Linked DNA regions of Macaca fascicularis. The protein of the gene in region 4 interacts with the protein of the main gene of each other region in a biochemical or structural test. Links are inferred from orthologs where the notes say so. Each region holds a gene or a part of one and is shown on either strand. Other genes may lie near its edges.

Region 1 (3,584 bases), on a different chromosome or scaffold from region 4:
CCAGACGCTGTACCCCTTCAGCTCAGTCACCGAGGAGGAGCTCAACTTCGAGAAGGGGGAGACCATGGAGGTGATCGAGAAGCCCGAGAACGACCCCGAGTGGTGGAAATGCAAAAATGCCCGGGGCCAGGTGGGCCTCGTCCCCAAAAACTACGTGGTGGTCCTCAGTGACGGGCCTGCCCTGCACCCTGCACACGCCCCACAGATAAGCTACACCGGGCCCTCGTCCAGCGGGCGCTTCGCGGGCAGAGAGTGGTACTACGGGAACGTGACGCGGCACCAGGCCGAGTGTGCCCTCAACGAGCGGGGCGTGGAGGGCGACTTCCTCATTAGGGACAGCGAGTCCTCGGTAAGTGCGCTGCGCCCGCAGCTCTGGCTGGAGGCAGTAAATGCGCCTTGCACAGTGGCTCTGTGTGCCGCGCCCATTTCACATTGTGTGAGTACACTAGAAAGGCGAGAGATGCAGATGAATGCAATTTAGTGTAATGTTTGCTACTCCGTGATTTCCTTGCATCTGTTTTGGGGATCGTGGGTGTCCATTTCTGGAGATGGGAGGTTAACTGAAAAAATGTTTGTAGCTGACAAAGGTGGTTCTGCTTCTCTCCGAAGATTGCCCCTCTTGTATTTTACAGACTCAAACGTCATTTTCTCTCCTGGTTGCCCATTGTGTGTACGTAGAAGGCCCCAGTGATTTACTTTGTTTCCACTCGGTCTGTTTCCCAGAGAAAGCAATCTTTGCAAGACTGGTGGCGGGTTTCTGACACCGCCTTTTGTTGTTTGCTTGCTTTCTCTTTGTAAACCGTATAATCCCAAGGTCATTGCCACGGCAGGCAGCGCCACTGAGTTCATCTCTGAAAAGCTTTTAAAGCACTTACGAGATGAATTGTAAAGAAAACAAGGGTTCTTGAGAGAGATGAGTTTTGTGTGTGTGCAGTGAGTGGGAGATATGAAGCCACTGGACTGGGGCAGCAGACCCACTTCCAGGGGTGGGCAGGCTGGGGGCAGTGAGTTTCAGACGTGGGGGTGGAGCCTGCATCCCAGAAGGCAGCCTTTTCGTGTGTGAAGGAAATATTCGACCAGTTTTGCAAACGTCTTTACAAATACACCTTCTACAATCGAGAGACTTCCAAAACAAGCATTTAGGAGTTTGATGTATTTGAATTGTATTGGTTCTAGTAGGCTTCAATTTCATTTTTAAATGCACACTGTAAGACTAGTAAGTATGTACTACCTGCTGCCCCTGCTGTCCTCTGAAAAGGTTACTGGCACAATAAATAAGTGCACATTCAGGAGTCCTGTTGACTGATCAGAGAGGCATTCAAAGCCCTCCAGAGAGAGGCAAGTGGGATCTTCTCCTCTTTGAGGAAGGAGCATCGTGGTGGTGGAAACTGGACTCCTTTGTGGTGTCATCAGTTTTGCGGAGCCTTAGATGTGCTTGGACGGGAATGCCAGCCTGAAAGCTAACTTCATCTGAAATCTGAACTCTGAGATTTTCTTATCAAGTCACCAGAGTTTATCATTCCTGGCAAGACATCACATTGAATTGTTCTCACATGACGAGAGCTCTGTGCACCATTTCCTTTAGATCGGGTTTGAAGCCTTAAGCAAATTAAGGACAGCAGCGCTTTTAACTCAATCGAGCAGAAACTTAGAGAAACTGCTGGAAAACCAATTACAATATTAAGTGCTTGGTCCAGAGTCCTTAAGGGCTAAGTATAATGCACAAAATATGATCTTGGCTTAAAATGTTTGAGTTTGAAGAGACTTCTCAGAAGGAAGGCCTGCAGTGTGGAGACATTGCTCCCAGTCGTTCTTCTTTCTGCCTAAGATTTGGGGAGATGAAGAAAGACTTTAGAGAGTAGATGAAAAAGGTGTTCTCCAGGGTTGCTGGCCTTAGGGAGGACCTATGGCTTTTCTGTGGAACATGCACAGGTGGTCATTGTTGTCTGAATTCAGGGACCGGATCCCTTTGGATAAGGAGGGATGCATGCATTGGCTGGGTTTCATCTCAGAACTCTACACCCCACTGTCTCAGTTGCCTTGCATTGTTAGAGAATGAGCTCACTTTTTCAAAAGTACTAAAGCACTAATTGTTTGTATTTCCTTTTAACAATTTTTTAATTGGGGGCCTTTCAAGATGTTTTGCATTCTCTCCTAACTTAGAAAGTCAAGGAGCAACATGTATGATTCCAGGAATATAGGGTGGAAAGGGCTTTACTGGCACTTGCATCGGCTCTGCACACATAGCAGCACCGTCTTGGTCTGAGGCTCCACGTGGCCTGATGCTGTGCAGGGCAGCTTGTCCTGATGGATCTTGCCGTGACACAGGCCATTTTCAGCGGTTAGTGTGCATGCCTTGTGCCACGGGGATTCTACAAGAGCCCTGAGGTGTGTGGCTTCTTTTCTCCTGACCGCAGAACCGGGCCAGGTTTGCTGCGTTTCCTGTTCATGACCAAGGCTGTTCTCAGCTGTCATCTGTGACTGCCGGGGACCTGTCCTGGTGGACAAGTGGACAAGTCCTTTGCTTGTTTTTTTTCCCCACCATCCGCTGCCTCCCCCCATCCCCATGTGTTTCCCTGCTCATTTTGCCATTTCTCAGGTTAGAGCTGGCTTTCACAGCCACCACCAGGCCACCAAGAGCCCTTAGGTTCACGGTCTGACATAATTCCTTCACAGCATGCCGGGACGGAAAGGTTTCTGAGGGGTTCAGCCTCCCTGCAGGACTCAGAGGCAGGCATCTTCATTTAATTTCCTTTTTTCTTGGAATCTTTGGGCCTGGACCTTTCGTTGAGGTTACCACATGAAGCCTGGCTTCTGGATAAGCACAGCTGTTTCTTCTGGAATGGATCTTCAACATGCGTTTCAGTTTTTAAAATACCCTGAGTGACTGCAGTGTAAATGAGCTAGACCCTTGCTTGATGACATTGAGAGGTGCTTATTTCAGGGAGGACAAACATTGCCACATCCTGCACTATCCACTATCAGTAAGTGCTGGGTATTTCAGAAGTATCTGTTGGATATGTTAGATGAATCAGTGAACTAACAAATGAACGAACCTGTTGGGCCCTCTTTCCTGTCCTGAACGTCAGTGCCTACTGCTTGTTCTTCCCTTTCTTCTTCCTCCCTCGCTCTCCTCTCTCATCTACAATTGTCGTTTATCCTTAGCAGCTAAAGGTGATATATTGTTGGTGCTTATTCTCCATATTTCATTATCATACCTTCAGCTGTGAGCTATACCTGCTTAAATCCAGAAAACTCAGAAATCCTACTCACCCGGTGTGTGTCCCTCATAAATCCTTTTATATTTTGTCCACATTGATGCTATGGATGTGGCTAGAAAGCTGTACTTAAAATGAACAGTAACCCTTTACTGGGTTTCTGGTAAACTGTACAAGTTGTCAGTATTTTATTAATTGCTGCATCCCCCATCCTTGTAAAAGTTGTTCAGAAAGTGACAGATCACAACTAGGATATGGTTGGAAAAGGTGCACAGCTGGCCTGGGTGACTTGCTGGACAGCATCAGCCACAAGTCTGGGAAGCCATTTTCCTCTGTAAGATTTTAGATACCGAAGAGGTCATGTAT
Region 2 (3,584 bases), about 55 Mb from region 4:
GCACGCGGTCGGGGCCATCTGGGCCATCGGAGCCCGGCGCCCGGCGCAGCGCCAGCCTACCACGCTGCCAGCGCGCCCCGCTGTCCATGGAGGCCTCGTCGGCCAGGCTGTAGCGCAGCGCCGCCTCCTTCAGCGCCTCGGGTGGCGGCTCCCGAGCCAGGCTCCAGGGCAGGAGCTTCTTGGCCAGGCCGGGCCGGGCGGGGGTCTCAGCAGCCTCTCCGGGGGTCCCGACGGCGGCAGCGGTGTGGGCCGCTGGCAGCTCCCCGGCCGAGCGGCGGCGGAAGATGTGGCGGAGGCTGCGGCGAAAGTGCTGGAAGGAGCAGGGCCCGGGCGGCCGCGGCGGGGCCAGTTCCTCAGAGCTGCGGGCCTTGGGCAGGCCAGGGGCGGCGAGGCCGGGGCCTGGCTCCGGGGACGCCTCAGCCTTGGCAGGGGGCCCACGGCCTGTGTCCCGGTAGTCGCGGCCCGGCGCGCGGCCGTCGCGCACCTCCCGGCAGAAGTAGCGCTGGAAGAGGTCGGTGAACTGCAGCGACACCAGCTCCGCACGCAGCGGCGCGTGCTGCGGATGCTCGCGAGCGAACAGCCAGTACTGGCGGGCCAGCTCCCGGGCCGCCGCCACGGCGTGCAACTCACAGAACTCGCTCCAGCCCCGCGGGGCCGGCGCCGGGGAGGCCGAGGGCGGGGAGGAGGCCGAGGAGGGCTGCAGGGCAGGCCCGTTCATGGTGGAGACCCAGGTGGTGCGGCGGGGCTGAAAGACATGTGGGTGGGGGGGCGACAAGGAGTGAGCAGGTGGGCAAGCAGGTGACGGCCCGTCACACACCGCGAACCACAGCAGAAATCCGACACGACCATAACACCCAGTGCTGGTGAAGATGCAGGGAAACACACACTCTCCTACCAAGTGGCATTCTGTAAGGGGCATGGCCAACTTGGCAGAATTGATTCTAGACTCTGGAATCCTGCTTTTGAAGGACAAAAACCGTATTATCATTTCAATAGATGCAGGGAGAGTATGTGACAAAATTCAACATAACTTTATTATAAAAACTTTCAACAAATTAAGCATAGATGATATGTTGTACTTAACACACTGACCCTATATAAAGGCTGAGCTCGGAGGCTCACGCCTGTAATCCCACCACTTTGGGAGGCTGAGGCAGGAGATCGCTTGAGCCCAGTTTGAGACCAGCCTGGGCAACATGGCAAAAGCCCATCTCTCCAAAAAGACAAACACAAAAATGAGTTGGCATTGTAGCACTCGCACCTGTAGTCCTAACTACTTGGGAGCCTGAGGAAGTCAGGGCTGCAGTAAGCCATGATCAGCCATTGAACTCCAGCCCAGGCAACAGAATGATACCCTGTCTCAAAAAACAAATAAATAAATAAAATAAAGACCCTACATGATAAGCACACAGCTAACACTGCACTTAATGGTGAAAAGTTGACAACTTTTCCTTTAAGGCCAGGGATGAGAAAAGGATGCCCACTCTGGTCACTTCTATTTAACACAGTACTGACAGTCCTAGCCAGAGCAATTAGGCTCTAGGAATCCCACTTTTAAGTATTCAAGAGAAATACTTGCTCCCTGCTACATATTTCCTGCTGCAACATTTATAATGGGGAAAAACTCTAAGAGACAACCTAAATGCCCCCAGTTGGAGACTGATGAAAGAATCTGGCCCATCTATAGGCTGGAAGACTCTGCAGCAGGGGGAAAGGGTGAGGAAGACCCACCCCCCCCACCTCTGGGAGAGCTCCAGGGCAGGGCTATTCACTAAGTGAAAAAGCAAACAGCAGAACAAGACACGCTAGCCGATCCCATTTACATGAACATACATAAAACCAAACTACTAATGTTTATGTGTACACAAACATTTTGTAAATGGTGGGCAAGAAAGGTCTGGCAGAAACAAACCCATCCTGAAACAGTGAGTATTTCTGGGGAGGAATCAGAACTGGGGTGTGGGGATGGTAGGGATGGCGGGGAAGAAACCAAGAAGCTTGCTACTACTTATCTCTAGCAAGGATGGCTAAGAACACAGATTCTGGAATGTGGATTCAAATCCCAGCACCAGCCAGACGCGGTGGCTCATGCCTGTAATCTCAGCACTTTGGGAGGCCCAGGTGGGTGGATTACTTGAGTTCAGGAGGTAGAGACCAGCCCGGCCAACATGGTGAAACCCCATCTCTACTGAAAATAAAAAAAATTAGCTGGCTGTGGTGGCGCATACCTGTAGTCCCGCTACTCAGGAGGCTGGGGCAGGAGAAATGCTTGAATCCAGGAGGTGGAGGTTGCAGTGAGCTGAGATGGTGCCACTGCACTCCAGCCTGGGTTACAGAGCAAGACCTTGTCTCGAAAAAAAAAAAAAAGCCCAGCAACCACTACTTATTGGTTATGGGACCTTAAGTGACTTATGTGACTACTACTCTGCCTCAGTTTCCCCATCTGTAAGAGGGGAACCATGATCATGCCTACTTCATAGGCATATTATGAGCATGAATTGATAGACATAAAGCCCTAGAACATAGAAAATGCTTAAGAAAGACTGTCTGCTATTATTGTTATTTCCATGTTGCAATGAGAGTATATTATTGGTGTCTATAAAATAAATATAAAACGGGCCAGGCGCAGCAGCTCATACCTGTAATCCCAGCACTCTGGGAGGCTGAAGTGGGCAGATCACCTGAGGTCAGGAGTTCGAAACCAGCCTGGCCAACATGGTGAAACCTTGTCTCTACTAAACATACAAAAATTAGCTGGGTGTGGTGGTGCGTGCCTGTAATCCCAGCTACTTGGGAGGCTGAGGCAGGAGAATCACTTGAACCTGGTAGGCAGAGGTTGCAGTGAGCTGAGATCATGCCACTGCATTCCAGCCTGGATGACAGAGCAAGCCTCTGTCCTGGGGAAAAAAAAAAAATCACACACCAAAAACAAAAACAAAAATAAATATAAAACAAAAAATAAAAGGGAATAAATTAACAAAAGTCACAAGGGGTCCAGAGGGATTTCCTGCACTGACAGGGGACCCTCAGGACTGGCAGACCTTTGCCTGCCCATCTCAACTGGGGCATCCTTCTCCTCCCGTGGCCAGAGGGCCTTTCCTTAGACACAACATCACCAGAATGGCACTGAGATCCCCCACTCCTCTGCTGTCTGCGGTACAGAACAGCTGGGACCTCTGTGGGCACCATCCTTCCTTCTTCATGACCCTGGTTGGGCCTGGGCCCCTGCTGGCGACCACATGTCCACGTCTGTTCTTCAAGATGGAGAAGAAAAGCTCTCCCTACTCGGGCACAAAACGGGGCCCCAGATCCCTGATATTAGCACACCCTGAATGAACAGCGGTGCCACTCCAATGACTCTCTCCCTGGGCAGGGGTAGTGGCTGCACAATAGCCAGAGCCACAGGGGCCTGGGTACAATTACCGCCTCCAACCATGCCCTCCTTCATCCTCCCTTCAGGTGTTACTGAGGGCCTACTGTGTGCCAGACACCAAGCTAGGCCCCGGGATACCATGGTGAACAGCACATACGAACACTGCTCTCCCAGGGCTCACATTACAAAGGGGGCCACGTATTGGCTGTGT
Region 3 (3,025 bases), on a different chromosome or scaffold from region 4:
CCAGGAGGCGGAGGCTGCAGTGAGCTGAGATGGCGCTACTGTACTTCAGCCTAGGCAACAAAGCAAGAAAAATAAAACAACAACAAAAACAAACAAACAAAAATTTTGGGCTTGCAGGCCTATTGGTTACTTCTTCAAGGGCCTTTCCCCAAAAATGATATTTTAGAACGTTATGGAATTTATGAAATCAGAGGTTTCCCTGCAACTAATCTATGAAAGGCAGGGTTTAAACTGTTTTAAAACTTTAGTCTTAAATTCATATAATTTTTTTTATGTATTAAGGAAGTCTATCCATTCTATTTCAGTCTATTTTTGAAACATGAAAAGGAAGTTAGAGATGAAATCATTCCTCATCACTACAAGTGATATTTATCTTTAAATGTTGACATCTCCCTGCTGTGCTTGGCTTCCAGATAATACCTAGGACTACAAAATATTCCTTTAACCTAGAGATTATGGAGAGAAAAGATGAATCACTTTTATATGTTGGTTGAATTTGAATTAGCATTTCTCAGAGAGCTTAATTTAAGTACCCCCAAAGCCAAAAGTCTGAAGACTCAAGGCCCACGTATTTCAATTTCTCAGGCACGTTCCCGGTTTAGAGGCAGTTAGTTCTCATATCTGTATCACTGCAAATCATGGAGAAGCAGCGAGGTTCATGGGTTTTCTGTTCCTGTTAGCGAGAGTTCAGATGATGGCACTCCGTGTCATCTCAGGTCATGTCAAATTAGACTCTGTGAATGCCAGTGTGAAGAAAAGAGTCATTTAGTCTTGTGTGCTGGTAGCATTTTTTATCAAAAGCTGAGAAATGTGACTCTGAATAAGCCACGTCTTCCTCAGTGCCAAAAGTCAGGACTTCTTATATTGGGGGAAGAAAGCATGGTATGGTGAAAACAGTGTGCTTGGTGGCCTGATGGCAAGAGTCACTGAGCATTATCAGACATAACATGATAGAAGGTAACATGGTACAGCCAACCCTTGAGGCATCATGAAAGAGATTAACCAAAGACTGATATAGTTGTGGGTTTTGGAAGAGAGATAGACCAAAGATTGGACATAACCTCATTGTGGTAACTGTGAAGCCAACATTAGGCTCTCTCAGGCTTACCTTTGACTGTGTTTGTTGGACACTGGGATGGATAGTTCCAAATTGAATGTTAACTAGTTGCATTTCATGGAAAATATGAAAAGCACACAAATGTATGACACTGTTGTCAGGAATAAATCTAAGTTACTATGCTCTTTTTTTTTCATAAGACATAACCTTATAGCTGAGCTAAGGAGAAACAAGGCACACAGATCCAAATGCATGCAGATCCAGCTATCAGCAACTCATCTTAGATCTTCTTCCATTCCCCATTTGGGCTTCATTCTCTAAGACCCCTTGGCCTTTAGGAAGGTATAGTATTTAAGTAATACTTCTTTCCCTTCCGAATCCCTGAGCCTTGGTCCTTATATAAGCTGAGAGGTTTCCAGGACCTAATGCCTTCTTATCTTGGCTCATATGCCTTTATTTATAATTGTGATGAGATTGAAAATCCCAAAAGCTTTGATGAGCTAGGCAATTTAGCTGATCTTTGCATGCACTCCTGTGAGGAAACTCTTGGCTACCTAATTTTCGATTCCAAGGGTGTGGAATGTCCTAGCGTAAATAATTGAGCAGTCTACAATGAATAGAAATTCTCTGTTCTCTGATGATATACTATTGTGAACTCTGTCCCCTTACCTTCCCTGCTATGTGCCTCTTATTGCACCACACTTATGCAGGGTATTCTGTGCTCACACAGGTATGTGTCAGCCATGACCACCCCGGCTCGTATGTCACCTGTAGATTTCCACACGCCAAGCTCCCCCAAATCACCCCCTTCGGAAATGTCTCCACCCGTGTCCAGCATGACGGTGTCCATGCCTTCCATGGCGGTCAGCCCCTTCGTGGAAGAAGAGAGACCTCTACTTCTCGTGACACCACCAAGGCTGCGGGAGAAGAAGTTTGACCATCACCCTCAGCAGTTCAGCTCCTTCCATCACAACCCCGCGCATGACAGTAACAGCCTCCCCCCTAGCCCCTTGAGGATAGTGGAGGATGAGGAGTATGAAACGACCCAGGAGTACGAGCCAGCCCAAGAGCCTGTTAAGAAACTCGCCAATAGCCGGCGGGCCAAAAGAACCAAGCCCAATGGCCACATTGCTAACAGATTGGAAGTGGACGGCAACACAAGCTCCCAGAGCAGTAACTCAGAGAGCGAAACAGAAGATGAAAGAGTAGGTGAAGATACACCTTTCCTGGGCATACAGAACCCCCTGGCAGCCAGTCTTGAGGCAACACCTGCCTTCCGCCTGGCTGACAGCAGGACTAACCCAGCAGGCCGCTTCTCGACACAGGAAGAAATCCAGGCCAGGCTGTCTAGTGTAATTGCTAACCAAGACCCTATTGCTGTATAAAACCTAAATAAACACATAGATTCACCTGTAAAACTTTATTTTATATAATAAAGTATTCCACCTTAAATTAAACAATTTATTTTATTTTAGCAGTTCTGCAAATAGAAAACAGGAAAAAAAAACTTTTATAAATTAAATATATGTATGTAAAAAATGTGTTATGTGCCATATGTAGCAATTTTTTACAGTATTTCAAAACGAGAAAGATATCAATGGTGCCTTTATGTTATGTTATGTCGAGAGCAAGTTTTGTACAGTTACAGTGATTGCTTTTCCACAGTATTTCAGCAAAACCTCTCATAGATTCAGTTTTTGCTGGCTTCTTGTGCATTGCATTATGATGTTGACTGGATGTATGATTTGCAAGACTTGCAACTGTCCCTCTGTTTGCTTGTAGTAGCACCCGATCAGTATGTCTTGGGCACATCCATCCAGATACGCCTCACTTGTGTATGAAGTTTTCTTTGCTTTCAGAATATGAAATGAGTTGTGTCTACTCTGCCAGCCAAAGGTTTGCCTCATTGGGCTCTGAGATAATAGTAGATCCAACAGCATGCTACTATTAAATACAGCAAGAAACCGC
Region 4 (4,089 bases):
TGTGAATCCGAACACATGAAGCTCCAGTCTCAGTAGAACAGTAAGAAATCCTAGGGAAGGCCAGGCAGGGTGCTTCACACCTGAAACCCCAACAATTTGGGTAAACTGAGGTGGAAGGATTGCAGAGGCCAGAGGCCAGGAGTTCAAGACCAGCTTGGGCAACATAGCCAGACCCACCCGCCCCCATCTCTACATCATACAAAAATAATAAAGAAATCCTAGGTAAGGCCAGGCGGTAAGGCCAGGTGTGGTGGCTTACACCTGTAATCCCAGCACTTTGGGAGGCCAAGGTGGGTGGATCTCCTGAGGTCAGGAGTTCCAGACCAGCCTGGTCAACACAGTGAAACCTCATCTCTACTAAAAATACAAAAATTAATCGGGTGTTGTGGCAGGCACCTGTAATCTCAGCTACTTGGGAGGCTGAGGCAGGAGAATCGCTTGAACCCAAGAGGCAGAGGTTGCAGTGAGCCGAGATCAAGCCATTGCACTCCAGCCTGGGCAACAAGAACAAAACTCCGTCTCAAAAAAAAAAAAAAAAAAAAAAAAAAGGGAGAAAAAAAGAGAAAGAAATTCTAGGTAAAAGTCTGAGCCCCACTTCTCAGTCACCTGATCACCTCAACCACTGTCACCAGGTGGATGACCTTGGTAATGTCACACATTTCAAGTTCTGTAAAATGGAGAGTTATATTGCCTAAATCATATAATTTTTATGTTAAGTGACACATTCTCTAAGGCGCTAAGTTTGAGGACATACTTTGTAAATGAAATGATATATGGAGATACTGTATATGTTAATGGTTTTGTTGTTGCCATTATTATTATGACTGCTATACACGTGGTCTGGAGAAAGCCAACCTCCCCAAAGCAAAGGTTCTCCAACAGAGAACAGGCCCTCTAGGTTGCATATCAATACAGAGCCTGTTTAAGGAATGTTAGCCGGTAGTCTTTGCTAGGCCTGAGGGGTGAAATTTTTGTTTATCAAGACTCAACTGTTTTCGAAGTCTTCAGGCTTGAAGTTCTGGGGAAAATAACTAGGCACTCTGGGCGAGATCCCCAATACCAGTTTAAGGGATTTGAAATGCAAGGCCGTCTGGGACTCCACTGCCACAGGCTGGGCACCAGGCGGCGCCGGTCGGATCCGTCCCGGGACTAGCAGGGCTTTGGGCCAGTCCGGGCAGCTGGTGCTGGAGGTTCCAGAGGTCCACGCCATTGGTGGACGCAGTCTCTAGTGTCCTCTCCGCATCCCGCTTCACCGCCCCACCCCTTTCCTGCGCGAGCCTGGACTTGGAAGGCACCGGGGAGGGTGTGAGCGCCTTGGTGTGTGCCCATCTGGGTCCCCAGAAGAGCGGCGGGAACTGCGGCCGCATGGACGGTGCGGCCAGACTCCAGAGTGGAAGGGGAGGCAGCTGTTCTCCCAGGCGGCCGTGGGGGGCAGCAGAGGGGACGGCGACAGGTGCGGGAGCCCCTCCCGGGGTAGAAGTGGAAAGGCGGGCTCCGGGGTCTGTTCGCAGGCTGGAAACCACCCCCGCCCCCCATCCAAATCCCGGGAGAGGCCCGGCCGGCGCCGGGTCTGGAGGAGGAAGCGGCCGGAGACAGTGCAATTTCACGCGGCCTCTTTGGCTCGGGTTCCTGGGCTGGGTGGATGAGTTATGGGGTTTCGAGTCTGGGAGAAACTGAGGTGGCCTGGACGTGAGGCAAAAAACACCCTCCCCCTCAAAAACACACAGAGAGAAATATTCACATTCTGAGAGAAAATCCACCAAGTGAACCAACCGGCTAGGGGAGTTGAGTGATTTGGTTAATGGGCGAGGCCAAATTTCAGGAGGCTGGGCTTTGGAGCGCTTACCACTCCCTCATTCATTACCCTTCCCTGGATCTGGGGGCTTTTGGAATCTTGACCTCCCCTTGGCCCAGCTCCTGCAGAAAAATTAGGGTGAGCCCCATCTTCGATCTGCTCCGCCAAGTTGCGGGACCGCGGGGCGTGGCGCGCTCGGGGCGGGCAGTCCGAGGCTCCGCAATCCCTACTCCAGCCTCGCGCGGGAGGGGGCGCGGCCGTGACTCACCCCCTTCCCTCTGCGTTCCTCCCTCCCTCTCTCTCACACACACACACACCCCTCCCCTGCCATCCTGCCCCGGACTCCGGCTCCGGCTCCGGCTCCGATTGCAGTTTGCAACCTCCGCTGCGCCGCAGCAGCCACCAATTCGCCTGCGGTTCAGGTGGCTCTTGCCTGGATGTCCTAGTCTAGGGGCCCCCGGGCCGGACTCGGCTGGGCTCCCTTCACCCTCCGCGGAGTCATGAGGGCGAACGGCGCTCTGCAGGTGCTGGGCTTGCTTTTCAACCTGGCCCGGGGCTCCGAGGTGGGCAACTCTCAGGCAGGTAAGTGGCGCGAGAGCACTGGCGGGCTCGGCACCTGGGAGCCGGAACCCAGTGCGCGAAGCCTCTGAGGGCATGGGCAGGGTCTCAGGCGGCGCGGGGGTGTGGGTGCTGCCCCCGTACGCCGGACCACCTGGGAGTGGGGCGATCAGGCTCGGGTTATCGGCGTGGTCCGGCCGAGGGCGGCATTCTTGGACCCTCACGCCCCCTTCCCCAGAGCGTCGTCGACCCTCTAATTGGTCTCCCCAAAAGAGGCTGAGGCCGCAACAGTAGTTCACACTTCTGAGGGACCCTGCAGGGAGCGGGGCAGGGACCTTAATTCTATAAACAGGAGGTGCTTGGAGGTGGGGGCCTTGGCGGAAGGGTCTCGGTTTGCTCGCCAGCTTCCTGCCCGCCACCCCGCACCGATTTCTGCTACTCCTAGTTTCGTTGTTTTGCCGACAGGGCGGAGCTACGGAAGGTTGGAGGGGGTTGTTGTTCTCTAGTGTTGGAAAAACAGGAGCGGCACCTCCTCTTCCGTGAGTGAGCCTGCCCTGGGGAGGTCTGAGATTAACCAGAGGGCCAAGTTCAGGTGACATCAGGCGGGAGGCCCAACAGAGGCTGGCGTCCGCTTTCCTCAGAATAGCAGAGCTTGAGCAACATCTCTTTGTCAAGATCCAGGTCAACCCAACTCATATTTATTGAGCATCTACTATATACAAGGCGCTAGGCCAGGAACTGTAGGGGCAAGGATTGTCCAGCCTCTTGTCTTTTCTCTCCCCAACCGGAGGATCAAGAGGGCACCTCTACTACTTTCTAAGCCTCCTGCCTTGGGGAGTCCTACCTGGGCCCATCTTGTGCCCCCTGCCCCCATTTTGCTTATTGTCTGAGGACCCTAGACAGAGCCCTGGATTGCTCTTCTCCAGTCCTCCCCCGACTCCCATGCTATCTGAGCCCACCCCTTTGGGGTGTCTCTGGGGCCGTGGACACCTGAGGTTTGAAGTTCTGTGGATCTCCTCCCCTCCCCCCAGATTTCAGCTTGGGATTTGGCACAGCCAGGGCCCCTTCCCCAGTGTGGGAGTGGAAGAAACCACCTGTGCTTCCCCCACAGTTGCTGGGCCTAAATTTAGATCCTGGGATTTTTAGATGTGAACACTCCCAGCTGGTGGAGGGGGGTGGTCTGGGGACTGGCGTGGGAGGGAGCAGTGGGGTGACTGTATAACTGTCCCATCCAGACTCCCGCAATCTTCACCCAGAAACCCAGGAGTACCAGAGTCTGGCCACCCTCCCTGGGTAGGCAGGAGGCAGGCATGGTTGGGTCTCTTTACCCTTTATCTGGGTCCTGCAGCCTCTGGGCATCCGGCCCTGTCTCAGTCCTTCTATAGCCCCTTTGTCCTGGCTGTGATGGGGGTGGGGGATGTTGGAGGGGAGGCTTCTGGTTGAGGAGGGGCTGGAGATTCTGGCTCTATCCCACCCCTAGTGCTCTCTACCAAAGGAGTGCCTGTGCCACTGCCCCTCCTTATGCTCCCGGTCCCTGGGTACAGGAGGGATTTTTATGATTCCCTTCCCCTGCCCTGCTCCCCAAGCTGCCTAGCTCCTCCCCAGACGTGTTGTTTGTGCTCCCTTCCTGCCCAGGCCCTTTGCCCCCTGTTTGTGTAATATGGACTTTACCCTCAGGGGAGCAGGGAACTGGGCTACCTCTAACACTGTAGCCTTCCAAGCACAGACACAAAGTC

Evidence for each region. The genes of interacting proteins can lie anywhere in the genome.
Region 1: the proteins of ERBB3 (region 4) and NCK2 form a complex in vitro, tested with the Homo sapiens proteins (2 studies listed by BioGRID and IntAct, with this or other methods). The link is inferred for Macaca fascicularis from reciprocal best matches to the Homo sapiens genes ERBB3 and NCK2.
Region 2: the proteins of ERBB3 (region 4) and SH2B3 form a complex in vitro, tested with the Homo sapiens proteins (2 studies listed by BioGRID and IntAct, with this or other methods). The link is inferred for Macaca fascicularis from reciprocal best matches to the Homo sapiens genes ERBB3 and SH2B3.
Region 3: the proteins of ERBB3 (region 4) and NRG1 form a complex in vitro, tested with the Homo sapiens proteins (8 studies listed by BioGRID and IntAct, with this or other methods). The link is inferred for Macaca fascicularis from reciprocal best matches to the Homo sapiens genes ERBB3 and NRG1.

The regions. Positions count from the first base shown.
Region 1 is NC_088387.1:10,312,403-10,315,986, forward strand, and holds part of NCK2 (cytoplasmic protein NCK2), read left to right. Parts: coding exon 1-349; intron 350-3,584. UniProt on the Homo sapiens protein: Adapter protein which associates with tyrosine-phosphorylated growth factor receptors or their cellular substrates. Maintains low levels of EIF2S1 phosphorylation by promoting its dephosphorylation by PP1.
Region 2 is NC_088385.1:118,305,324-118,308,907, reverse strand, and holds part of SH2B3 (SH2B adapter protein 3), read right to left. Parts: intron 746-3,584; 5' UTR 719-745; coding exon 1-718. UniProt on the Homo sapiens protein: Links T-cell receptor activation signal to phospholipase C-gamma-1, GRB2 and phosphatidylinositol 3-kinase.
Region 3 is NC_088382.1:36,007,272-36,010,296, forward strand, and holds the end of NRG1 (pro-neuregulin-1, membrane-bound isoform), read left to right. Parts: intron 1-1,257; coding exon of another isoform or gene 1,258-1,378; exon of another isoform or gene 1,379-1,399; intron 1,400-1,787; coding exon 1,788-2,442; 3' UTR 2,443-2,509; downstream 2,510-3,025. UniProt on the Homo sapiens protein: Direct ligand for ERBB3 and ERBB4 tyrosine kinase receptors. Concomitantly recruits ERBB1 and ERBB2 coreceptors, resulting in ligand-stimulated tyrosine phosphorylation and activation of the ERBB receptors.
Region 4 is NC_088385.1:62,865,180-62,869,268, forward strand, and holds the start of ERBB3 (receptor tyrosine-protein kinase erbB-3), read left to right. Parts: upstream 1-1,264; 5' UTR 1,265-1,365; coding exon 1,366-1,453; intron 1,454-1,872; exon of another isoform or gene 1,873-1,933; intron 1,934-2,134; exon of another isoform or gene 2,135-2,295; coding exon of another isoform or gene 2,296-2,377; intron 2,378-4,089. UniProt on the Homo sapiens protein: Tyrosine-protein kinase that plays an essential role as cell surface receptor for neuregulins.